Linked DNA regions of Coturnix japonica. Each later gene encodes a partner of the first gene's protein in a complex. Links are inferred from orthologs where the notes say so. Each region holds a gene or a part of one and is shown on either strand. Other genes may lie near its edges.

The links.
Region 2: MED4 (region 1) and MED18 share a complex: the UniProt entries of both Homo sapiens proteins name them as parts of the mediator complex. The link is inferred for Coturnix japonica from reciprocal best matches to the Homo sapiens genes MED4 and MED18.
Region 3: MED4 (region 1) and MED13 share a complex: the UniProt entries of both Homo sapiens proteins name them as parts of the mediator complex. The link is inferred for Coturnix japonica from reciprocal best matches to the Homo sapiens genes MED4 and MED13.
Region 4: MED4 (region 1) and MED8 share a complex: the UniProt entries of both Homo sapiens proteins name them as parts of the mediator complex. The link is inferred for Coturnix japonica from reciprocal best matches to the Homo sapiens genes MED4 and MED8.
Region 5: MED4 (region 1) and MED13L share a complex: the UniProt entries of both Homo sapiens proteins name them as parts of the mediator complex. The link is inferred for Coturnix japonica from reciprocal best matches to the Homo sapiens genes MED4 and MED13L.
Region 6: MED4 (region 1) and MED12 share a complex: the UniProt entries of both Homo sapiens proteins name them as parts of the mediator complex. The link is inferred for Coturnix japonica from reciprocal best matches to the Homo sapiens genes MED4 and MED12.
Region 7: the proteins of MED4 (region 1) and MED31 are in contact, whole or in part, in a cryo-EM structure (PDB 8TRH), measured with the Homo sapiens proteins. The link is inferred for Coturnix japonica from reciprocal best matches to the Homo sapiens genes MED4 and MED31. Residues at the interface, in NP_054885.1 of Homo sapiens: Glu147, Tyr151, Arg154, Ile155, Asn159, Ala160, Val161, Cys162, Ala163, Pro164, Trp167, Arg173, Arg174, Pro175, Tyr176, Pro177, Met182, Leu186; in NP_057144.1 of Homo sapiens: Gln19, Glu23, Gln26, Cys27, Ala29, Asn30, Pro31, Ala64, Lys65, Tyr66, Leu67, Lys68, Tyr69, Pro70, Gln71, Asp98, Ile102, Trp105, Gln106, Tyr108, Ser109.

What each region holds. Positions count from the first base shown.
Region 1 is NC_029516.1:150,967,448-150,969,855, forward strand, and holds part of MED4 (mediator of RNA polymerase II transcription subunit 4), read right to left. Parts: intron 1,952-2,408; coding exon 1,865-1,951; intron 761-1,864; coding exon 629-760; intron 1-628. UniProt on the Homo sapiens protein: Component of the Mediator complex, a coactivator involved in the regulated transcription of nearly all RNA polymerase II-dependent genes.
Region 2 is NC_029547.1:21,930,463-21,933,982, forward strand, and holds MED18 (mediator of RNA polymerase II transcription subunit 18), read right to left. Parts: upstream 2,266-3,520; 5' UTR 2,153-2,265; coding exon 2,080-2,152; intron 1,914-2,079; coding exon 1,360-1,913; 3' UTR 501-1,359; downstream 1-500. UniProt on the Homo sapiens protein: Component of the Mediator complex, a coactivator involved in the regulated transcription of nearly all RNA polymerase II-dependent genes.
Region 3 is NC_029534.1:6,204,635-6,208,134, reverse strand, and holds part of MED13 (mediator of RNA polymerase II transcription subunit 13), read right to left. Parts: intron 2,982-3,500; coding exon 2,891-2,981; intron 2,721-2,890; coding exon 2,506-2,720; intron 2,118-2,505; coding exon 1,921-2,117; intron 723-1,920; coding exon 1-722. UniProt on the Homo sapiens protein: Component of the Mediator complex, a coactivator involved in the regulated transcription of nearly all RNA polymerase II-dependent genes.
Region 4 is NC_029523.1:17,388,685-17,392,811, forward strand, and holds the start of MED8 (mediator of RNA polymerase II transcription subunit 8), read right to left. Parts: upstream 2,801-4,127; 5' UTR 2,721-2,800; coding exon 2,715-2,720; intron 775-2,714; exon of another isoform or gene 757-774; coding exon of another isoform or gene 751-756; intron 290-750; coding exon 171-289; intron 1-170. Other genes in the region: KICSTOR complex protein SZT2, read left to right, coding at 2,801-2,830, 2,964-3,089, 3,196-3,369, 3,972-4,127. UniProt on the Homo sapiens protein: Component of the Mediator complex, a coactivator involved in the regulated transcription of nearly all RNA polymerase II-dependent genes.
Region 5 is NC_029530.1:10,336,921-10,341,190, reverse strand, and holds the start of MED13L (mediator of RNA polymerase II transcription subunit 13-like), read right to left. Parts: upstream 2,801-4,270; 5' UTR 2,699-2,800; coding exon 2,627-2,698; intron 1-2,626. UniProt on the Homo sapiens protein: Component of the Mediator complex, a coactivator involved in the regulated transcription of nearly all RNA polymerase II-dependent genes.
Region 6 is NC_029519.1:2,315,195-2,318,694, forward strand, and holds part of MED12 (mediator of RNA polymerase II transcription subunit 12), read right to left. Parts: intron 3,213-3,500; coding exon 2,983-3,212; intron 2,538-2,982; coding exon 2,457-2,537; intron 2,234-2,456; coding exon 2,060-2,233; intron 1,723-2,059; coding exon 1,578-1,722; intron 677-1,577; coding exon 558-676; intron 408-557; coding exon 264-407; intron 1-263. UniProt on the Homo sapiens protein: Component of the Mediator complex, a coactivator involved in the regulated transcription of nearly all RNA polymerase II-dependent genes.
Region 7 is NC_029534.1:8,576,362-8,580,591, reverse strand, and holds the start of MED31 (mediator of RNA polymerase II transcription subunit 31), read right to left. Parts: upstream 2,801-4,230; 5' UTR 2,640-2,800; coding exon 2,630-2,639; intron 1,429-2,629; coding exon 1,351-1,428; intron 761-1,350; coding exon 664-760; intron 1-663. UniProt on the Homo sapiens protein: Component of the Mediator complex, a coactivator involved in the regulated transcription of nearly all RNA polymerase II-dependent genes.

The DNA.
Region 1 (2,408 bases):
AAGGGCATGGAGTGATAAGATGAAGGGAAATTGCTTTAAACTGGAAGAGGGTAGACTGAGACTAGATATTATGGATACATTCTTTACTGTGAGAGTGGTGAGACACTGGAACAGCTGCCCACAGAGGCTGTGGATGCCCCCTTCCTAGAAGCATTCAAGGCCAGGCTGTGAGCAGCCTGGTCTAGAGGGAGGTGTCCCTGCCTATAGCAGGGGGTTGGAACTAGATGATCTTGAAGGTCCTTTCCAACATAAGCCATTCTACAGCTGTGCTTCAACTCCTCTCATTGCCCTGAAGGCTATCCCATGAAAGAGACCAGCTTTGTCTCACTTATAACAAGAATTAAAGATAATCAGAGCCAGAATAGAACAAAAACCACCCATGTGGAACAGGGTAGTTAAGTGAGCTTTCCTCATATTTACTCTGTTCTAGTGTTTGCAGTATCGTTTAGAATGCAACAAAAAATATTTAATTTCTGTTACCTTTACCGATTAGTCCTTCACTGCTAAGGAACAACACTGGCCATAATTTCCATTTTTACTCTGATTTCCCATTGCAGAGACACATTTGTAATTACTCTGACTATATGAGGAATAAGAATAATTAAATAAAAAATTGAACTTTTCTTACCTGGCAATCTGCCCGCTGCAAGTGCATCCCCTGGTAAGTGTCCATTAACCCCATTGGTGGATGGGTTGTTCATCTGACCCAAGAGACCACTCCTCATTTCTAGATCTGTAGGATATGGCCTGCGTGGATCCCCTATTAATAACGACAGTGATAATAATTAGATATTAATTAGAAAATATTATCATCTTTCTCTTCTGTGTCTGGTTTCCTGTCTGGATCAAGAATGAGCATCACCCCTATTCTATTAAAACTGGAGACTTTTCTTGCTCATTCTAACTTGTCACAAAAATTACATTACAGTAACTTCAGAATATCTTTGCTCTCTCTGTTACTTGACAGCTAAATAATTATGGGATGAACGCACTAAATGTACTCCTGTCAAGAGGGACTCATGGATGAAAAATTGGGCATGAGCTGCCAGCACACAGTTGCAGCCCAGAAAGCCAATTGTATACTGAGCTGCAGCAGCAGCAACGTGGCCAGAAGACTGAAGGAGATGGTTCTCCCTCTATTCTCTACTCTTATGAGACTCCAACTTAAGTACTATGTTCAGCTCTAGGGCCCTCAGCATTAAGACATGGAGCTGTTGGAGCTGGTGTAGAGAAGTGCCATGAAGATTACCAGAAGGCTGAAGCATCTCTCCTATGAAGAGGGACTGAGATAGTTGAGGTTGAGGCTTTGGGGAGACCTCACTGCAATCATTCAATACTTAAAGAAGGCTGATAAAAAAAGATGGACAGAGCACCTTTTTACAAGGGCATGTAGTGATAGACTGGGATTAGATATAAACCAAATTAGATCTAAAAGTAGATTTACATTAGATATAAGCAAGCCATTCTTCAATATGAAGGTGGTGAAGCACTGGAACAGGTTGCCCATGGAGGCTGGGGAAGCCCCATCCTTGGAAATACTGACAGTTGCGTTGGATGGGAGCTCTGGGCAACCTTGTCTAGTGGAGGGTTTGAAACTGGATGGTCTTTAAGGTCCCTTGCAACCCAAGTCATTCTATGACAAGTTGTCATGGTTTTGTAACGTTGCTGTCAAAATTCCACATCATAACATCATGTGCAGTATGGATCATTAAATTTCTTCAGAAACCCTAGATGTAACAGCTATAAAAATATACATATCTTTAATAAATCAAACTGTCCTTCATTGTGTAAAAACATTCTAAAACCAGATACTGATTGTGCTCTATTATTCAAGAACAAGAATAGTCATAAGCACGATATTTACCTGGTACCCACGTCAGAGGGGCACAAACAGCATTACTAGCACTGATCCTGTGGGCGTATTTAATTATTTCTTCAGATGAAATGGCACCTGGAAGAAGGAAGAAAAGTTCCTGTATTTAAGAGACTGCATCGTTTGATTATTTCTGAATATTGGATGGTTTTTCATACAGAAAAAATTAGGAAAGTCATTCTGTCAAACATCAAAATATGCTTCAAATGCAATGACTGATCAGAGATTCAGAACAAGCGTCATAGTGAATTCACTTTCCAGCCACATGTTCCGTATACCTTGGAGTGTTAACAGGTCTTCAGCCTTTTGAAGAAACACAAACCAGTATCTTCCACAGTGCACTTGACAAGCACATTGTTAAAGAAAATTTCAGCACTTTTACTACAGAAGTTCTGCAGTAATTAAAATCTCTTTCTTCTTCGTAGCTGTAGTTATACATGTACGCAGTAGACCTTCCCCTAATAAATACACTTGTATTCAAGTTCCTCTAATAAATACACTTGTATTAGAGTTACTAGAATCATTCTGAAATTCC
Region 2 (3,520 bases), on another chromosome or scaffold:
CCTTGGGTTGTGTCTGAAGCTGTATGCCGCTTCATACACATACACTACAGTGTATGTAAAGCACTTAGCAGAAAGCAGCTTGACTGTGTTACCGAGGTTGCTGAAGTGAAAGCTGGAATATCCACATAAGCTGTTGATGTGTGAAACGTCTCACCCTGCACTCGCATATCAGAAGCATGTTAGACAATATAGAGTGCTTCCAAAGTTGTACTTCAGCTTCTGTGTTCATTTGTACAGAAATAACAACATTAGGGGAGAGTGTGTGGGGAGAATGGAGACCCAGGGCTGAGGAGTGCTGGAGATACAGCAACATTCGTGCTGTTAAAGCATGACAGCGACTGACAGCAATTGGTGTGTTTTAGTAAAAGGCAGCGTGGTTGTACGTTTCCATAATGATCTTGAGAAATGAAGACTACTTCATGTTTGCCCAAAATACTGGCTTGTATTGAGTGAAAAAGAATTGCAAAGAAAATACAAAATTAATGCAAATAGCTGACGGGTATTTTTGAAGATATATTTTTAATAAAACATACAAAGAGCACAAAAACACAGAAATAGTGGGATGCCTGACCTTGCTTTTGTGAAACTAATGCATCGTGCTGGGCTGATGGAAGTGGCTGTAAGCAGGAAGGAGCCTCTCTGTGCAGCCTGCTCCACGTCACCCCCAAATGAAGCAGTAATTCCTCACTTTGAGATGGACCTTCCTGTGTCCCAACACTGGGCAACAACAGTCAAAGCCTGGCCCCATCCACCTGACTCTCTACAGGCACATTCGGGGGCACTGGGCTCAACTTTCTGAGCCAACATATTGGCTGTGAAGGGTCTTAATTCTGTTTCTTCCCCCCAGGTTATAATTGCAGACCCAGAGCTTCCTGTTCTACACTAACAACAAAGCTGCTTCCAATAACAAACAGCTCCCAGTCTGGATTTGCTAGGAGGGAATCTTTCAGGTCTTTCAAATCTAAAACTAAGCAATTCCTGCAACTACTCCTTTCAGACATCAGGGACCGACTATCCAATGAATAATGCACTAAACAGACTTTTATTCTCTTCCATCTCTGGGAATTACATACATTCTGCTCTTATGCATATATGTAACCTGCATAACCAAATACCAAATGCTGGCTGAGCATCAAACAAAAACAAAACCAATACATCAAAGCCTTTTACCCCTTGCTCCCCAACAACATAAAGTCAATATCTCTATTTATAAGTGTTGCACCTTAATACTGCTTACTGCTCCAGCACAGAGAGGAAGCAGTGGAGCCCTGAACAAAAGTTCTGTGTGCATAGGACTCCAACCAGTCCCTGCACTCACTTCTGGCTACAGCAATGCTATGATAGTCAAGCCAGTTTTCATCACATTAACCTCTTAGGGTCAATTTTTTCCAGGTGTACTAAAGGCTTCAGCTGCTCTGCAAAGTTCCTCATATCATCAGAAACCATATCCTGTCCGGCTGGTGCCACAACATTAAGCTCTACAAGGTAGGAGAGGGAAAGCGGCTCGATGCTGTCCGTGTTACCAGGCATCAAGATACGGAAGATCTTATACACCACAATCTTCATGATCCCCTTTCGGAACACGTGTCCCTTAGCCACGAACTCGTGATCCATACGGAACCCCATCTCCACCAGGAAATCCGTCAGGTTGTCCGAGGTGGCGATGTCCACACAATTTCGCACTAAAGCGTGTCGGTTTTTATCTCCGATCTCCGGCTGCCCCAGGTACCTCAGGTGCCATGGCATGCCGCTTTTATCCATGGATCGCCGGGCACGCAGCACGAAGGGGCTGGCCTGCTGCCCCTTGAGCAGGAACACCATCTCGTGGTCCAGGAAGGTCTCCGGCTCCATGTTGTCGCACAGCCCACGCAGGCGGTGCAGCAGGCTCTCCAGGCTCTGGTCCAGGACGCTCCCTGTGGTGGACACACACGGCTCAGACGATGGCCCCTTCCCCGCCGCAGCGCGGGGCCGAGGCAGGCGGCGAAGGGGCCTCCGCGGGGAGGTACCTCCCCTTCGCCGCCCGCCTCGGCCCCACGCTGCGGCCGAGCCCCGTGTACAGCCCCTGTGTGCCGGCCATACCTTGCAGCAGGTACTCCATCATGTTAATAGTGCCGCCCGTAACGGGCATCATGGTGACGGGAGGCGCCTCCATCTTGGCGGCTGTGGTAAAGATGGCGGCGGGAAGAAAGGCAAGGCCTGAAGGAGGAGGCGGGCGCCACAGTGCGGCCTGGCGGTGAGGAGCAGCCGAACATCGACCAGCTCCCTTTCCTCCTCACAGACATCCAGTTATTCATCCCCAAGCACACAGCACTGCCCCTTAAAGGCAGATGTAAAGAAGGCATCGAGGAACTCAGCCTTCTCCTCCTCAGAGAATCCCAGCCTTCTCCTCAGTGATCACGTTCCCCGCTGCATCAAGTAAAGGTTGGGCATTTTCCTTGGTTCTCCTCTTACTTTGATGTACTTGTAAAGGGATTTTTTTAATGTAACGGCTTCTGCAATACCAGGTGAGAAGTGCTGGTATCACAGACCCACTTCAGTCTTTAATACTGCACTGTATGCTGGACAGTTTTCCTTAACCTTTTGTTTGCTAGGTTATTTCACTGCATCATGAGGTAATCTGAAAGTATCACAATTAAGCCAGTAAATCTAGGATTATTTTACTCAAACTGAAAAAGAAGTTCTGTACCAAAATGTACACGACTTAGTCATAATACAAAATGTTAATTCTACAGCCAGTTAAATCCATCATAATGAACGTTGAGCCACTGTTTATTGTCAGTACAGCGTTACTTTAAATAAGCTCACTGAGTGAACACAGAAATAAAGTAGATCTTCCTCAAATAAAGTGACAGCTATTAACAATACTCCAGGAAGATGTGCATCCATGGTATTTGCATGCTGTCGTAGCATATCTAGCATGTAGTACGTCTTCATGCTTGCACAGCAGCTTTGTGAGCTCATTACAATAATGTTGATTTGGTGATGCACTACAAGACAACCCATATGACTTACATTGAAGCTGAATTTTAAAGAGCACCTCTGCTAGACACCCGTTTAAAAGCTCCACCACATTCCTGTAGCGAACACATCTAGGCCAAACCACTGATCTGCCACCACCTCTGCCCCCTAAGAAGATCATCAAGCACATGAACAGTTCTCCTCCCATGATCAGCTGGACAGGGTGATGCTGACAGCAACCTTCCAGAAGGTGAATCAAACCAGAACACGCCTGTGTTTTCTATATTACATTAAGAACACCTGAGACTGCTTCACTGGTCCAAGTACAGAATTTTAATACAAAATCTGTTGCATTAACATGACATTTCACTGAATTCCCTTAATTAGTACATTCCATTAAAAAAAAAAAATCTTAAAATAAATATTCCCCCTCAAAAAAGTTTAAAAGGAATTAAAGCAAAAAATAAAATAAAACAAAAAACAAAACAACCCCAACCCTGTAGTATTACAGAACAGTGTGATTTTCTGACTTCATTTATCTCAGTGTAAGCAGTAGATTCAC
Region 3 (3,500 bases), on another chromosome or scaffold:
CAAACGGTGAGAACAAGTTGGTGCATTGATCTTGCAGCAACAGTATTAACTCATCAGGCAGTTTCTCCGGTTCTTTCAGTCCTGCACTGCCATGTTCAACAGAAGTAGCTCTGAGAGCTTCGAAGCGTTTTTCTGCTTCTTTGCCACACTCTGTGTTACGTCCTAAAATATCCAATTCATCTTCAAGAAACAGTCCAGAACTGTTGCCAAACTTCCTATTCATCACAGCACTGAAACCACAGGTACACCGATACTGGGCCTCTTGTGTTGGATCGGGAATGTAAACTCCAACATCAGCACCTTTGATGTTCATATTGCAAACGCATATGCAGCAGCTGTCAAAGTTACAGTCTTTGAAGAGATTCATTACAGACTCTGAGAGGATGAGATTCACGTACAGACTGTGTGCCTCTGGAATGGAAGGCACAGTTGCAGGTTCAACAGAATTAAGTGGTCTACACGTCGATGGCGTGGAAGCTGGTGAGTATAAATCAGAGTTCTCATATTTGACTGAACCCTGCGCACTTGCCGGTCCACCAGCTCCACGAGGAGTCCGAGGAGTCCTTGGTGTTCTGGGAGTTGGGAAACGAGGGGTAGAAGGAGAAGGGAGAATTCCAGCTCCACCATTACTGGGTGGTGCACTACCCGGGGGCATTCCAAACGGAGTATGAGTTTGTGGTGTGTATGCAGGGCCATACTCTTGATCCATAGTGCTTCCGTCACTGATAGGAGCCACAAGAAGAAAGAAATACTTTAAATTTCAAAGCCAAGAAGTCAAGTCAGTCTCAGATTGCTAAACAAGGACCTCCCTAATTAATATTTGCTTTTTTGAAGTAGTCTTTCACAATCTACAAAAAGATTTTCATTCCCTAAGGAGCTTCTAGAGTGTTTGTTCTAAATGACTTTGCAGAATTCCCATTGTCAGTGCTGTTAAAGAATCCTTCCCCTCCTCCCTTTCTTGCCTTTTTCTTTCCACAAAGCTTCCAGGAAACAAGTGTAGACAGTAAGAACTACGAGTTCTATGGATATACAGAGCCTAAAGGGCACCTCTTCCCTTTCATGTTTTATTTATACGCCGTGTTGACACACAACACTAAGAAAATATACTGGGTGTACCAACAGCAGATTCAGTTCGATCCATGGGGAAAACATCACCTGGAAGTGTTTAAATTCTTTTTCCCCCCTAAGTAGTTGAATAACTCCAAAGACCCGCAAGACCGATGAGACTTGGGAACGTACTGCTTATGAATAGCCTTAATAGAAGGAGCAATTACACATAAATCAGAATTCACACACTTTTTTTCCCAATAAACACACAGCCTCCTTGTTGCCTAATCTCTCTATAGAAGTTAATACTGTAGAAGAGAAGGAGGAATAAGTATTTTCTTCAAGTGCTGCCAACAAAACCATCACAACCAAATGCAGATTATAAGAATGCCTACTGCAGTGCTAGTGTTAGCAGGCAATGTCGTACTGAGTATAGCTTTCAACCAGAGGAAATGTTGTTCTGGCCAAATACAGCTGAGATTATGGCCATTTAAGAAAATAACTTAAGAAACAGAAGAATAACCTATGAAGCCTTTGCAGTACCTACAAAACCACAGCAAAAAAAAAGAAGTCCCAAGTTTACATGCATCTTGATCATTACTTATTTAAACACTGGACTTCCACCAGTAAGCTTCCTCAAAAAGCCTTTAAATGAGACAACAAATAAGATGTACACACAGTTAAGAAGCTATTGGGAAGATCATCTCTTGCTGTAAGGTTTACGTGTAAAGTTTTTTTCAATCTCCTGTCAGTTGTCTGAACAAACTGCCTTGATAAATTTCTTGTTACATGCTTACAAAAGAATAAAACGGAGGAGTACTTTCTATGTTGTCAGTAACTCAAAGTCTCACAAAGATTAAAGATAATTCATACCCATCTTTGATAAATGGCATGGCAGGTCCTGGAGGAAGCAAATCCAGCTTCCCCACAGTCCAGCTCTGGCGATATATGCACTCTTCTGGCAGTTTGATGGGAGGGAGACACTGGCTGGGAAGAGTCTTCAGTGGTGCAAACATGGAACATCCCACTAAGGCTTGGCAGTTCTCAGGTTTATAAACATAGGAATAATCCTAGAAATTACATACGGTAAAGCATCAGCATGTGAATTAGATGATATCAGCAATTAAAACACTTCCTAAAAAGAAGGACTGAATAAAAGTTGAGATTTTCACATTTAACATTTGCACTCAGAAACAATATGGCGATATAAAAGAAGCCATGAATTCAAGTTACCAATATGCATCACTTAAATTTCCTGATGGGTAACTTGAGATTATGCTGTCTTGAAGTTTAAAATAGTTAAATAGTACATGTAGTTTTCTAGATGCATCTTACCTACCCCCTCAGTAGGACACAAATTACAGACTGCACATAATTTCCCACAGTTCTTACTCAGGATTAATTAATAGACTGGGCAGTACCCATAAGAAACATATCAGGGCTATCAACACTACCTACCTTTATTTCAGCAGGTTTGGGGCTGCAGAAACCCTCATCTACTTCAATCCTGAACTGAGCTCCCATACTGGAGCTATTCCCTTCAAGTACTGTTCCTCCAAGTGTAGTGTCCATACTGCCATATTCCTTATTATTCATGTTCATTGGAGAAAATCCCATGATGTGTTGTTCCAAAGAAGGTGGAGTTGGATACATTTTATGGAGATCTGCAGTGCCTAATTTCAGATTAGAAGTAGGCTTTAGAATGCGACAACATTTAGAGTTATTTCCTTTGTCTTAATATTTCAGTAGGGCAAAGGAAGCATATGCTTCCAAATTCCCACAGCATATTAGCAATTAAATGTTTAAAGCTAGTATTCTAATTAGAGAAGAAAATAAAGCTTACTTATGCATGACAGCGGATCTAAATTTCCTGCTTTTGCCTCTTTGCAGTTGGATTTGTCATCAGCACCATTCACTGTTCTTTTAGATCCAGGCTATGAAAAAAAGTATTGCAATAAAATCACTACAGGGACAAACACATTCATTTTTGCCTCTAACAACAGATTTCACATGTAATGGACACCCAAAACTGGGACTATAAGCAAAATAAAATAAGCCAGAAGCCTAACACTGGTACGTGGGGTTACACTTGTCTTTCCTTCACACTTGTATCTCAGAATGCTCCGCCATAAAATCACAGTGCTATTAACTCTCAGCCTGTTAGCAGACATTAAAAAACCAACTAAGTAAGGCTACCTACAATCTCATAGATAAAACATACAAGCTCCCAAAACCATGCTAATATTACTGATTTTACCACATGAATAGGAATAGAATAGAGAAACAATTGCTAGAACAAGAGGTACGGGGAAGAAGCAGCATTGAAATTAAAACAAGAGATATTTTACAATGTTTAGACAGCACTATAACCTACAGAAAATAAGAGTCTCCATGCTGAAAAGCAAATACACTTGCTTTATGCTTAATATAGTAATGACCTTTGATGGCTGTTA
Region 4 (4,127 bases), on another chromosome or scaffold:
ACTGTTTTTCGGGTGGGAGATACTCAGTAGTTTCACCAACGTTAACATGAAAAGTGAAGGTAAGCCTGTGGAGAGCAAGTTAGTGGCTTTTAATTACACTTTTTGGGCAGAGTCTAGAAGAGCTTCAGCAGCGATCAGTGACAGTGCCCTGTCTCTGTGGGATGCCTTACCATGTGAGTCGATCGTACTCATTCTCCAGCTTGTAGATAAAACTGACCAATGAGTTCTTCAGGTCAGCCACCTGGCTGATGAGTGCCTCCAGGGTCAGCTCCAGCTGCTTCTCCTCTCTCTGAAAAAAAGAATGAAAGATAGGGGTGAGGACAAAGCTTTGTACCTTTCCAAGGACTGTGGGGATCCATACATCTGCAACCATATTCCACCCTCTCCTATGGAGAGACTCCTCTTCAAGGCAAGGAAACAGAGACCACGTAGATAAAAATCCTACATTTTCACACTTATCTTGTCTCCTTGTAAGAAACATTTAGGAAGAGACTCGTACCTGAGCCAACCCATGGCTAGCTGTCATTTTTAAGATCTAGATAAGTAAAGCCTATACATCACTTGCATCAGGCAAAGTCATCAAAGTTACCTTGCACCACCTCCGTGAGTTATTCATGCTAACCCAGCTGAAAGCAGATTAGCATTCTCAGCACCCTTTGACAGCAGGCACAGTGATGTCTTCACCCAGCACAGCCATTTGCAAAACAAGTATCAGATCAGTGGCCCAAAGACTCCAGTTTCTGCCCTTACCCTCATCTCTCACTTTCTTCCTGTCCAGGTGCTGCATCCAGCTCCTAAAAATTCCTTGTCCCTTACCAGCTGTGGAAGGCGCTGCAGTGTCAGTGACGTAGTTAGACACATGCAGAGATCACCTGCTGCCTTTTGCCTTGGTGCACTGCTTAAATAATCTTCTCCCCTAGCTGAGAGGAGTATGGTGACATACAAAGCAATAGGAGAGGAGACCTGTTGTCACATATAGCACAGAATATCTCCGACTCTTGCGAAAACCCTCTAGAACCTTATCTATTCTTACTCATTCAACAGAATTGCACAAAATGTAATTAAAGCCCCAATCCTAATGGACTGCTAATGTAAGTCAAGGACTGTACAACAATAATCCACGAGGAGGGTGAGACACAGCAATACAGTTAAATAATAGAAAGGGAATGCTGATTGGGAAAGCAGATGGGGTGACTCAGTCTGCTTGCACGCTCACTATTGGGATCCTTGTGCTGTTTAAACAAACTGAAACTAGCATGAGATCATCAAGTATCTTCCACATTTAAGAGAACATGAAATTATTCTACTCACGGTCTGACAAGACTATAAAGGTTTTGTTTTTTTTTCCATAGACTGCTGATAAGACTTCACTACCTTAGAAGAAATGGCAAAATAAATGTGGCTAAAATCCACTTCCAATCCACAGCATGGATTAACAGAGCAAACCACGGGGTTACAACTCACAGCTACAGCACTGCAGCTCTCCGCCATCCTGTGATGGGACTAGTCTGTTCCTGTGCACTTAAGAAACAAGTCTAACGCTGACTGTGCACGTTGTGTTTGAGCAAGATGAACCACTGACAGCACTACGAGTTGGGCTGGGAGCCAGTATCTCACTGCAGAGGTGGCAGGTACACACAACCAAGACAACTGGTGTGGCCCATTGCCAGCGCGTATCCAAGAAGCCCTAAAGATTGTGAATGAAATCACACTACACTGTGTGACAGTGCAGTCTGAGCCTCCTCCTTTTGTGTGCTCTCTCCATGAGAGCTGGAAGTAAGTTTAAGCACCGCAAAGCACACGTGCACCAAGATCAATGATTCAAAGAAATACTCTGCCTCTCACAGACATATACAAGCAGCAATTCAAGGAGTCTGTTAACAATACTGAATTGTCCCAGGGTAATAAAATAGGATTTACGGGAGAGACTGCTGAAGGAACTCCTGATAATGAATGACTGGGAGGTAAAGGTGAAATTCAGAATAAACATAAAGCAATACACACAATGAAACAAAGAGAAATAAACAACCCTGACTTTACACACACACAATGACATTCTCTGAGCTGATAACATTATCACTCACAAACAAGATCTGAGGATTATCCGAGGGTAACCCAGGGAAACATCAGCCTGAGGCTCAAGAAGTCGAGGAAATCAAAGTAATAATGGGATTTATTAGGAAAGCAAGGGATCCTGTCACTGTTACCTGGGAGAGGAGGCCGACCTCCACCCCATTGTAAATATTTGGAGAGTTTAAGGGAGTCATGGGGTCCCTCTGAGCCTCCTTTTATCCAGACTGAACCATCCCAGCTCCCCCAGCTGCTCTCTGTAATGCCTCCACCCCTCACTTTCCCTGTCGCAATCTCTGGACACGCTCAGGTCTCAATGCCCTTCTTGCTTAAGGGGCCCAGAACAGAACGCAGCACTCGAGATGCGGCCTCAACCAATGTCAGCACAGAGGGACGCCCACCACCCCGCTCCTATAGGATACACTGAGCCTCCACGAGCCAAGATACCATAGACCTTCTCGAACAACTGGGCACACTGCTTTACTCCTCCAAAGCCCGGCCCACGGGGCACAGCGGAACCCCATACGGGCCTACTGCTCCCTCTAGCCTAGCCTAGCCTAGCCTAGCCTAGCCCAGCCCAGCCCAGCCCAGCCCAGCCCAGCCCAGCCCAATACAGCCCTGCTCAACCCCATACAGCCCCTCACCTGCATGGCTGCGCGGCCCTGTTGTTATGGCAGCCTTCCACTTCCGAGTCAGGTCAGAGGGCGCGGGGCGGGGCCGCCGGGCAAACATGGCGGCTGCCGAGAGGCCCGAGGCTGAGGTGAGGGGTAACGCGCTGCGGGGCGAGGGGAGGCGGGGTTGTTTGCGGCTTTGAGACCGGGAACTGTGTAGAGAGGTCGGGGGTTGTGGTGGTGCCCGGCCTGGAGTGACGAGGCGCTGTGCTTCTGCTGCAGGTGGAGGAGGCTGGGCACGTCTTCCTGTTGATGAAGAAGGACTATCGCATCTCCCGCAACGTGCGGCTCGCCTGGGTGCTCAGCCGGCTGCACCAGGTCATCTGGGCTGTGCCCGAGCCCGAGCTGGTGAGTGGGGGCCGGGGGTGCTGCAGGGTGGATGGTGGCCCTGCATCTCGGCGTGTCCTTTGGCTTGGAGTAATGTTTCATGCTTGTCGTTCGCTTCTTGTTGTAGTTGAAGTCAGAAAACGAGCTGGATGTGCTCAGCATCCTGCCCAACGGATGGCAGCCGGATGAGCCCGTCCAGCCCCGGCCCTACCTCTTGGTGCCCTCCACGCGCGTTACGTTCCTGGCCCGCCAGTACCGCTTTGTCATTGAGCTCGATCTGAGCCCTTCCACTGGCATCGTGGTGAGTCCAGGAGCTGCCTCTCTGGGGTGTTTTGTGTTAAAGGACCAGGCTTGGTTCCCTCTGCTGAGAACATGTGTGTCCCTGCATTAGTGGTCACTCCTGCAGGGGTCCTGTGTTCCTGAGGGCTGAAGCAGGCACTGCTGCTGGCAACACAGCCTTGCAGTGGATCCTGTTTCCTTGCAGAATGTGTGACCTCTGCTTGCAGGGGTCGTTCTGAGGCAGCTGCTGTTGCAGAAATAGGCTTGTACTTGTCTCTGTGTGGTGGGTGCAATGAGATTGCAGATTCCAGAAGATGTAAAAGCTGTTTTGTTTACCCCATGCAGTGCTGCTGATTTAGGGGCTGTGGCTGAGAGCTTTATGGAGGGAGAGGATCTAGGAGTGTTAGCTGACAGCTGGCTGAACATGGGCCAGCAGTGTGCCCAGGTCTCCAAGAAGGCATCCTGGCTTGTATCAGAACTAGTGTGGTCAGAAGGACTGAGGAGGTGTTCAAAAGCTGTGGAGATGTGAGGTGCAGTTAGTGGGTGTGGTGGGAATGGGTTGATGGTTGGACAAGGTAATCTTAGCTATAATGATTCTATAATTCTCCTCTTCTGTTTCTGTAGGATGACTCAACAGGAGAGATCATTTTTGATGAAGTGTTTCATGCTCTTTCCCGATGCTTAGTGGGATTGTTAAGGCCCTTCCGAATCCCTGGTTCAGACATTATTTATCAGCCCGAGATCTTTGTCACCATCCAGGCGTACTCCTCCATCATTGGC
Region 5 (4,270 bases), on another chromosome or scaffold:
CTTGAACACCACTGCTGGTGCCGGACATCACTTCTGATATGTGCACGATCAGAGCTCATTTTATAACCTTAAGACTATGCCTTCCCCTCAGGTGGCATATTTTAAACTAAGAGCCTCTACACATTCCGGGCACCACTGACAAAACGTAAACAGTTACTAGAAAGCTTTAGAAAATATTTTTCATGACAGTAAGATACTTCCAGGAATATTTCCCCATGAAGACTCAAACAAACAGCAGTGCCACCATCTCTCTAAAGTCCATCTACAGCTGACAGACAAACAAGCTGGAAATGATGGGGTGACAAACACCCCAAAGCCAACCTCAGTCGTACAGCACAGCCCAGCTCCTCCGACACAGGAGCTGCTGTTCCTCCTTAGACAAAGGGAATGTTTGTGGGGAAAAACATTGCTTCAACACGAACAAACAGAAGTACTATTTCTGAACTGTAATTCTCCAGGCAAGAACATTTCTTTTTGACTCAGGCCCAAAACGAAGCTGGAGATTTACAATGAACTGTAATACTCAGTGTCTAATGGCAGAATGGGTTTCATACAGCTCAGTAATTCACCTCACTCCTACAAAGTGAATGAGTTCCCATCAACAGCTGATTCATTTGTGCATGTTTCTGTTCTGTTGCACTGAAAGAGTAAGTGATGAGCAAAACTTTCTCCCATTAGTAACCCCAACTACTGCACCTTTAACACTTCATAAGTTTTTAAATGAGTAGGACAATTTGAGGCTGTAAGGTCAGTTCTGCTGGCCACGCACTCCCAGTCCCTATTTCCTTCTTCAGTATCCTTCACTGATACATAAACCATAACAAATATCAATTTACCTGAAAACAAATCACACCAATAGTTAGCACATTTGTATATATATATGTATATGTATATATACATATATGTGTGTATACATACATACACACACATACATACAAGTATATACATAATGGATATTCTTCTGTTTGCAAGTAGACCCTGAAAATAATAAAATCATTACAGCTGGATGCACAGTACCACATTACAGGTATGGATGCCTCCCACAAAATTACCTGAGAAACAAAGAGATCACAAATTAAAATCATAATTACTATGAAGCCCACCTGCATTTTGACGGGATCACAGCCCTATTTGAAAAGCTCCCATTTCCCCAGCACAGCAGGGTGAAACACAAAGCAGACAGACCACGCTGCAGTCACTATGTAGTAACTTCAGATCATGACGGATGCCAATTGCATGCCAACCATTATTTCTATTAACCAAAGGCAGACCTGCAGTTTGCAAGTATGTAAAGTTACACACCTCAAAAATAATCACTTTTCCATGAATAAATGGGGACCTCACGGCTCCGTACACAAAGCAGAGAGCACTCCGTTCCTCTGTCCATCCATACAGCCGTCTCCCTCATGCTCACCATTCTTCCTTCACATGTATGAGCAGTACATTCAAAGTCCCCACAACAGCTCCCACAGCTCTGCACACACAGCACTGCTTCCTACATGCAGTTACGGCTCAGAGAGCACCGCCAAGGGAAAGCCCATGCACAAGGCCAGGTGATGGAACAAGTTCATGAAAAAGCCAAAATTAGACTTGCATTCATTCCCACAGAAGGAGGCCGGGACTCCTTTCCCAGTAGCTGAGCGCTGAGGGCTCCTGCTCCACATTCTCCATAGGTATGAACAAAGTAACAAATAAGAGCAACAAAATAACAGAGAAGCCAGCAGACGGAGGCATAACAATGACACACAGCAATGAAAAGAAAAACGTTCAACAAAAACATCATTCACATTTCCAGTCCATTTTCTTCTTTCCCTTCCTTCTTGCAAGACAACCAACAGCACTCCCCTCCTTTCTGCTGGAAATGAGACCCCACCACCACCAGCCACATCCAGCGCTCACAGAGGGGAAGGGCCCAACGCCCCCCCCTCCATCCCCACCCCGCACCGTGCATTCCCACACACACATCAAGCCCCCAACCCCACCTGGCTGCCAGCCCCCCCAGCACGGCCATGCCCAGCCAGAAACAGGGGCTGTGGGCAGCAGGTGCACAGCCTGCTGGTAAACCGGCTTCCAAGGGACGCTGCTTCTGCGTGGAAACAGCCAATAACATAATTCCTGCACCATTAAACCAAACAATCAATCCAAGTACAAAGTTGTCCATTACCAACGACGGAGAAATACAGCATCAGTGCTACCCGGCAGACAACATCTTCGGTTGTTTCACCCCAGGGATGGAATAAATGATTATTTCTGCACCCATGGTGTCCCGGGGCAGGCACTGTGCCAGGCGGGGCCGTACCAGGATCTGACAGCGGCCCGAGACCCGCGCAGCGCCCCGTGCCCGCCCGCTGCCGCCCTAATGCTGCTGTCACAGCGACAATAGAGCAACCCCGGCCCGGGGGCACCGAGCGGAGACACGGGGAGACACGGAGAGACACGGAGAGACACGGCCGAGGGCGCCGCGCCGGGGGAGGGGCCAGCGGAGGAGCAGCCCCACGGCCCGGGCTATAAAGCCCCCGGCAGCCGCACCCGGCGCCAAACCCGCAGCGCCCGGTGCGAGCCGCCGTGCCGGCCCGCCCTCCCCACAACCCCCACTTCCCAACCCCTCACCTCCTCGGGCACTCACCAGCGAGAAGAGATTGGAGTGGCAATCCTCCAGGCTGGCCCCGTTCGCCACCCAGTTGGCCGCTGCAGTCATGATCCTCGGCGAGCCCCAGCGCGGGGCATGTCTGAGGAGCGGGGCCCGGCGGCGGGGGGAGGCTGCGGGCGCTGCCGGGCGCTGCCCGCTGCCCCGGGAGCGCTGCTGTGCCGGCGGGCGGGGGGGCGGCGCTCAGGCGGCTCCGGCGGGGGCCCGCTCCGGCGGGGGCCCGCTCCGGCGGGGGCCGCTCAGCAGGCGGCGGCGGCGGCGGGCAGCCCTCCCGCGGGCCTCCAGGCCGCCTCAGCACCGCGGAGGAGGTAGAGGAGGAGGAGGAGGAGGAGGAGAGGGGTGGGGGGGCCCGGGGCCCTTCTTCCGCGTCCAGCGCCGGCCCCCCCGGCCGCGGCGGGGCTCGGGGCTCCTCCCGCGGTCCGGCGGCGGCCCCTGCGGGGCGGGGGAGGGCGGCGGGCAGTGGCGGCGACGGCGGGCGGGGGGCGCTGTGCGGAGCCCGTGTCCCTCCCCGCCCCGCCCGGCCGCCCCTCGCTGCTGCCGCCGCTGGCGGTGGGTGGATGGTGTTTTCCTCCTCCTCCTCCTGCTGCCGCCGCCGCCGCCTTGTTTACGCTCCGTGCGGGTCTCCCGGTGCTGCGGGAGGCGGGCGGCGGCCCGGGCCCGGAGTGGGAGCGCTGTCCGTGCCCGTCCTCGCCCCCCTCCGCCTGGCGCTGCCCGCACGGCGGCCCCGCTCACCCGCTCCTCCTCACACACTCGCCTCTGCCTCTCTCCACTCTGACAGCAATGGCGGCCGCCAGCCGCAGCTCGCTTCGCCATTGGTCGGCGCCTCCCCACGTGACTCGCGGCGGAGGGCGGGGGCACGGCGCTGGGGCTCCCCCCGGCCCCTCCCTCCTCCGCCGCAAAGATCCTCCGCGCCGCTGGGGGCGCTGCGCTGGGGGCGCTGTGCCGGGAGCTGGGAGCTGCGGCCGGCAGCGGAGCGGGGCCATCGACCCCGGGCGGGGGAAAGTTGCTGGGCGCCGCCCTGAGGGCTCCGGGCGGGAGGAGCGCGCTGCGGGCGGGGGGCGGCCTCGGGGCGGCCGCTGTGCGGTCGCTGTGCCGCCCCTTCCAGCCGGCGGTGTCTCGCAGCACCTGCCAAGTCCGCGAACTGGATCCGAGAGCGGGAACGCACGGACTGCCCCGCAGGGTCCCGCTCACAGCGAGAGCTTGGCCCGGCTCGTAGGGCCTCCAAGTGTCCGGAGGAGCTTCGCACACCGATGTGGTGGGACTGGTGTAAAGGGACCTGGGAGATACCCGACGTGTGGAACTCGGCTATGAAATCACGGAATCACAGCATCGTAGGGGTTGGAAGGGACCTCCAGAGAACATCGAGTCCAACCCCTGCCAAAGCAGGTTCCCTACAGCAGGTCACTCAGCTCAGCGTCCAGGTGAACCTTGAATATCTTCAGAGAAGGAGACTCCACCACCCCCCTGTGCAGCCTGTCCCAGTGCTCCCTCACCCTCACTGTAAGGAAGTTCTTGCTCACATTCATGCAGAACTTCCTATGCTCCAGTTTCTGTCCATTTCCTGCCTCCACACACTGCTGAAAAGAGTCTGGCCTCGCCACTTTTCCCCGCACACCTCAGATA
Region 6 (3,500 bases), on another chromosome or scaffold:
GAGGTGCAATGTAAATCCTTTGGAAACAACCCTGAAAACCTTTGGAAGAATAATCATTCCAACAGGGCACATAAGACTATCTGCTGCAAACAACCCATTCCTAACAGCTGCAGCCCAGGAGAACTGCAATGACTATCAGTTCTGACCACCTCCACAACACAGGTCAGAGAACCCTAACAGAAGCCCAGCTATCACAGCACGTATCTCCTGCCTTTCAGGCTGATGAACTGATTCCCCAGGGAACACTTCAGCACTGTGCTTACCTGGATGGCAAAGTCGATAAGACCACTGATATTGAGTGAATACTCCATCAAGTCAAAGATGAACTGCACATGCTGTACCAGAGGCAGGTGGTAGGACATGCCCAAGGCAAAGCTGGTGATCTGTTCCAAGACATTGCGGGATACCTGCAAGTGTAAGGTGACACATTGTGCTATCTCCCCTTGCAGAAGCCCCTCAGCAGCCCCAACACCTCTTCCCTGCAGGAAGCTGTCCTCAGTAACACAAAGAGATTCAGTCAGGGCCCAAAGAGGACAGCAGTCTTGAAGGTTTCATACCTGAGATGTGACTTGGTGCTGATCAAAGTGAGAAAGGTGCTGGAACTTTGCAAAGATATCTTCAGCTGTTGGGAATGCTTCTGGCTTGCTCTTTTTCCTCTTCTGGCCTTCCTCTCCACCTACAAAAATTGAGAGGACTAGAAAATAGTATCAGGCTACCTTCCTCATCAGAAGAGGAATAGAAAACAGTCATCAGCACATGCCAGGCCCTCAGCAAGACCAGACACTGCCAAGCAGCATGGCCAAAGAACCTGATCCTCCACCTGTAAGCTGATAAGGACCATTATGAATTCACAACAATAAACTGTCAAGGGAAGAATTTCTAGCCAAAGAATGACAGCACAGTTAACATCTAGCTTATCCTGAGTGAAGGGGGAAAATATATTCCCCCCCATTTAGAAGAAACACTGACTCCCTGGTGAGAACAGTTGTTCTGGACTGGAGATGGCTCAGCCCAGAAGCCTGTTAGAGCATGCCACCTTTGAAGAATCACACCATGTTTCAAGTTGGCTTTCAAGAATCAGGCCAACAAAAAGAAAAAAAAAATCCTGAAGCCAGATTCTCAATCAATAGAAATTAGAGGTTTCCTAGCAGTATTGACACAACTATCCAAACCTGCCACCCTAACCAGCATGCTTAGCATAACAGCACACACTACACTGAATCAGGGTATTTGCCTAACATTCACAGGCAAAGCTCCCGCTGCTTTTGTGCAAAGATTTAAATGGTAGAGCTTAAGAAAATAAAGTTTGAAAATGCCACGATTTTCGCCAGGGTCTCACTCTGAAACTGACATGACTTAAGCACCTACCGAAGAAGGTAGATTCAATGGAACACATCTAGGCAGGAGGAAACAAATCTTATTCGCTGCTCATTATTATTTGAGAACAGAGCACCATCCCAGACAGTCAGTGACTGATACAGCCAACCAGGCACTGCAGATCATATGAAATCCTTTCATTGTGAGACTCCAGACAAAGGAGGCAGTCAACTGGAAAGACTGGCTCAAGCAATACTGACCTGTCTCTGCAGTACTCTTTCTGTTTAAAACTTTTAGGATGTCTTTGGTTATTTTCTTGATTGTATGCCGAGCATCGTCCCGTTGTTTTCCAACCCCAAAAAGAACTACCAACCGTTGGTTACATTCATGACTGCATGATTCCTCCTGGGGAACCAAGAGAAAGAACTGCATTAGCAACTATCAAGCTGAATACTTTAATCTTGTTTCACATCTGGATCTCATAAAAGCAAAGAGAAAGCTTCATCTCAGAAGCTGCTCTGGGAGTAAGCAAAGAGGTGTCTTAAGTAGATCACTCTCCTGCAGCAATGCAGAAAAACATGACTGCACTCCTCACCCACCCACAGTAACAGAACAGAAAGAGATCAGGTTCAACTCTGTTCAGTCAGGTTCATGCTTACAGTAGTGCTGCAGGGAAACACAGCAGCCTGGTTATCAGAGCACAAGGCAGCAGCAGGAAAAGGGTTACGAGCAGGTCTCATACCTGAGGAATAGGAAAGTGTGTTGCATACTGGATGTGTCGAGGCTGGTCATACAGAGATGCTAGCATTCCTTCTGCAGACTTGTCCTTCAGCAGAGGCTTTGCTTCCTTTTCAAGATCTGGTTTCTCAGGGGAAGGGCTGGCTTTAGATTCACAATGCATTGGAGGAGAAAACATCTAGGAAGGTGCAAGAACAACAAATCAGTTAGGGAACGTGGTCATGCCATAATTAAGACAGGTGAAAGAAGCCAAGAAGAACTTTTCACAGTGTCTGCTACCTTACAAGTTAGACACTTCCAACATATCAGCTCTACAGTAGAGAGGGAGAACCCACACATGTCCCTGGTGCTAGCACAACATAATCTACTTATGAGTAGCAGGCAAAACAGCAAGCACATACCGAAAAATCTGTTTTCTCCATGTCATCAAAGATCGTGCTGGAATTGTGGTCAATGTCCATAGGCTCAGAGAGACCCGTGTCCTGAGAACAGACAGAGCAGCTTTACATCTCAATAATACACCAGGAAACAAGACAAGACTCATTTACTGCAGCACCCCACTTCCATGTTGGACAGTGACAGCAGTTTGCCAACAAGGATGATGCCTGGCAAACGAAACTCAGCCAGAATCACATATGCTGCAAACACCTGACAACACAGACTGGCCTTGCATAGCACTTGATATGCTGCTCAGAGTAAGATTTTCCTGTCTACCCTGTTACATTCTGCAAGACCTTTCTACCCACTTAGAACACAAGCCTCTACTTTTGCAACTGAAGTGCTAAGGAAATAGCTTGGGGAAATGAGAAACATGAGTCACTGGTCCATCTTCCAGCAAGTAATAGCAAGGAGTCTGCAAAGCTGGTATGAGTGGAGAAGCAGAACAAGAGGAAGCACATAAAAGAGCTGCGTATCTTGTATTCTCACCTCTAGCTTGATCCCACTGTTTCCTTCTGTCTCCTTCCTGTCATGCTCCTCAGCAGGGTCATCAAAGGGTGAGGGAGGACGAGGTCCATGAGAATCCATGGCAAGATCACCCCGGGAGATGAGTGTGCACATGTAGATATTGTGAGAGAAGACATCATGTCGGATTAGCTCACAGAACAGCAGCACCAGGTTAAAAAACTCCACCTTCTCATTCTCCTTCCCAGGATCAGCTGAAAGGAGAGCAAAGACAGACAGTGCTATCAGAGTTCCTCCGTAACACTAAGAGCAGCAGCAGATACCACACCTACACCCACAGAGAAAGCATTTCTAGAGATCTCAATACTCTAAGTGACTGATACACAGTTCTGAGACTGCAGCAGAAGTCAGAACCAGAAAGCCCACCTTCAACAGGTGGCAAATAAAGAAGTGAAAATCTTTCCATTTAGAGGTACAGGATTTTAGACTGAAAGTGCCATCCCTGGGTATACAAACACACAGTTCCCCGCATCATTCAGAAT
Region 7 (4,230 bases), on another chromosome or scaffold:
AAGGTGCACTAGAACTGGAGTCTCCAGTATCTCTCCATTATTTTAGTCATTTAGTGCCTTACTCAAGTACCTGAAACAGTGAGCGCTGTACCTTTTCCATACACTGTAACTTAATACCTTCAGTAACTACAAGGCTAGAAAACAGGGAATCCAATAACAATATAAATACATACACGGAGCTGATTAAAATAACTTTTATAAATACTAGATTTCATTAAAACAAAAACTAATTAATTAAATAGCTCTTTCCAGAGCTCATTTGAAGTAAACAAAAAAAATTTCAATAACTGAGTTTAAACATTAATTAAAAAAATGAAAAAAAACGATTCTTTGTGTAGCTATCAACAGGGCAAAAATCACTCTCAGAATGTTCTTAATGGGCTGAAGTAGTTTTGTCCCGTGATGTTCAGTAATCTTGCTTTATGCAGATAGAAGGTGCAGATAAAGGTTGCAAATGGAAAATTCCATGCATATGTCAAGAATGAAACGTTCTTTAATTGTGCCTATCCCAGACTACAGGAAACAGGAAAATTTATACTGCATATAAACACAGTGCATGTTTTGGCTGCAGGGAGAAATCAAATATGCACATGCTACTTTACAGTGCATAAGAGAAGGTAAAAATCATTAAAATGCAGAAACCTGAGGGCTTTTAATACTTACTTCAAGTATTTTGCATATTCAGGTTCTTTCCAATACAGTAAATATTTAAGATAGTTTACAAAAGCTTTGTCTTTGAAGTATCCTCTTTGTGCAAGAACTGAAATAAGAGACAAGGAATTTTTTACAACTCAATAAAAAAAAAACACAAAGGGAAAAATATATCTTAAGTCAACACTCTAATACAAGTTAAGCATAGTGAGTTAGCATATAACTTTTATACAGCAACAAGGATGCGATGTCTTCAAAAATAGGAACTTCTGACATCAAAACTGTCAGGGAAAACCAAAGAAATTAAGAATTCCACCTGAAACTATTATAAGCATTAGTGAAATGTTGGTTTCAGATATGAGTACTTCTAAGATTGAAATGTAATTATTATTATTTATTTTCTACTACAGATGTGCACTTATTCTCCACCAGACAGTTGTGTTTTATTTCAAGAAATAATCATTTCACATTTTAAAGGTGTCATCTCCTCCCTCTTCTACCTCACCTTTGAAATTCGGACAAATTAAATTATCCTCAGACTACTTTTTTCCTTAAAGATCTCTTCCCTTTTCTTTGTTTACCCTTCGCCTCTGCACACACACACACACACACACACACACACACAGTTTACCATTACACGTAATCATTAAACTGTTAAATAACATTAACTTCTCAGGATCCCTGACATTAAGTACTCACAGTTGAGGTAATTGGGATTTGCTAGGCACTGAACAAACTCCAACTCCAACTGGAACCTAAGTCGATTTCCTGTATCATCTGAATACAAGAGAAAAAAAAAAAACAGTAAAAACTGGACTTACATGGCAGATTTAAAAGTAAGTTTCTCAACTTGAGCCACAAAAATAGAAACGTTTAGAGAGGAGATAAAGCACCAAGAGCCCACAAGTATGGGCTCATCTAGCAGTCTTTTCTATTACATGAATAAGTGTTGGGCCCATGTTAATACATGTACTATTGTTTGTTTGTTTTTTTAACAACTAAAAACGATGCAAATAATGGAGAAATGCTCTCTGACACTTTATGTAGAATATATGAAAAGGGAAGGGAAAGGGGCCTGCTTTTAGTGCAAGGAAAATATAAGAAGGCAAGAAAAGAACACTACCAGCAGCTCACTGAAAGCCTCCTTGCACATAATTTAAGAAATGCTTACCGTGAGGCTGCTTTTTGTTTTGTTTGTTTTGTACAGAGATGTCTCAGTTTAGTGAGAATCCTGCAGTGTTCTCACACTATTGGTGTACAGTAGGCACTGATGACAGACCCAGGGGTCAGCACAAGATTCTGCTGTCCTATGACAAAAGGGTGAGGGAGCTGGGCTTGCTCAGCCTGGAGAAGGCTCAGGGAGATCTCACTCTGGTCTTTCAGCGTGGAAAGGGAGCTTATAGAAAAATATGTTGACTTTCCACCCTGACTGAAAACAACAGAACAAGAAGGAACAGCTTTAAACTCAAACAATAGGAAACTCAGGTTAGATGTTAGGAAGAAATTCTTCTCCGAGGGGCGGTGAGGCCCCGGCACGGGCCGCCCCTCTCTGTGGGGGCCCCATCCCTGGAGCTGCACAAGGGAAGGCTGGAAGGGGCACCGCGCAGGCCGCTCTGGCGGGAGGTCCGATCTGTAAATAAAGTCCCCTCCATCCAAACACTCGGGGTCTATAAAAGATTCAGCTCCTCGACCACAGATGCAACGTGGGATGTCCGCTGCCATGGCGTCCGGGCAGGTAAGAGCCGCGGTGTCTCCATGAACGTCGCGAAGGGCCCCAACGGGGCCAACGGCCTGAGAAGGGCCAAGCCGGGAGGGCAGCGCAGCAGGACCGCCCCGGGCCCCTCCCGAGGAAAACGATTCGGAGCCTGTCGGCCCATCGCTCCCGAACCGCCCGAACTCTGCACGGCAGGACCACCGACGCTCTCCGTGGCCCGGAGTCGCTCGCCCTGCCCGAACCGCACCGCACCGCGCCGCTCACCTGCGTCCATGGCGGCGTGCTGGGCTCCGCTCCCCGCCCGGCCTCAAAATGGCGGCGGGAGCGCCCGCTGTCGGCAGGCGGGAGTTAGGCGGGAGGCGCAACGAGGCAAGATGGGAAGGTCTGTGGTGGTGAGGAGCTGCGTTAATGATGCGAGTTGTGTAGAAAATGACCTTTTGAAATAAACTAAAGTTGGAGCAACTTTTTTTCCCCTTGTCTTGAAAGAGAGCTGTTACCAGACAGGCAGTACGATTGGAAGGTACCTGTAGGAGCAATGTTCTGGGATGGATTTTTTCCTAGGCATGTGTGTGCTTTTCTTTCTTCCCTTTCCCCTTTTCCTTTTTCCCTTTTCCCTTTCCCTTTTTCCCTTTTCCCCTTTCCCGTTCCCTTTCCCCTTTCCCCCTGGCAGCTCATGCTGAGCTGATCTCACACAACCTCTGCAGTTTATTTATTAAGAAGTTATGTCGTAGTGAAACCAGTTAAACAGATGCGCCAGGGGTGCAGAACAGCACTATGCTATTGCACCTGGAGAAGAGTTCAGCACTTAGGTTGCAGATTTATTCCTAATGCTGCATTCATGTCTGGGGTCACACACTGGATGTTCATATCTTGGTTAAAACAAAGACTGGTGGGGTTTAGCACTGTCAAGCTACCTGAGTTCCATTGCTGCTATGATTGCATTATTAGGCACTTGTGTAACAGTTTGCACTATACAGGCTCAACACGAATCCTAATTCTTTTTTAAAATTTGTGATTTGTTAAACTATTTTCAGTGTCTCAGCATTTTCCTGTAGTGCTATCTCTTTCTATGTAGTGTAACTGTTCCCCTCCAGCCCCAATAGAAATTAGGCTATAAGACCACCTAAAAAAAGACTTCTGCATTGCTTTCCTTAATAAAATAATTTTGTGTTTTGTTTCTTTTTTCCCCAAGGTTTTAGTGGTTGTGGAGTACTACCATTACTATAACAGAATTAGCAGGTCACTCCCCAGTAAATACAGACTTTTGTCTAAAAGCAGAGATCAAACATATCCCACGCATTGGCAGTGCTATTCTGGAACACGATGTATCTCCCAAGACTGACTTCAGAGGAGAGAATCCTAAGAAAGGCTTGGTCACATGAATTAAATTACTACGTAGGTTTGCCAGAGTAAAGTGCAAGAACGCAATTCTTGGCCATCAAAACTAGGAACAAAATTGAAAGTTGGAGTCATATTACAAAAACTAAGAACATTCTCTAGGAAAAGCTGGATTTATTTATGCTTTTAAATATTAGCTTAGTCAGACTTTCAGGGAAGAGGTATTAAGCTGTGTGTTTGAGCCAAGAATTTTCCTTTTTATCATCATCAAATCATAACATCACTGCCTCAGTTTCACTTTTTATAGGAGCTGAACTGCTAACCCTATTCTCTGTTTGAGCACTGGTGCTGAACCCTTGTTTTCCTAATGCATTTTGAGAGCATGCTCATAGTAGATCTAGATATAAAACAGCCACTAGCTAACAAACAGATCAGATAAGGTTTTCTACCCAAAGCAAATAAAGCTATTCAGAGTTTAAAATTACACTCCAAAAAGGGACACTTTGCTGCAGTAGTAATTCTAGACA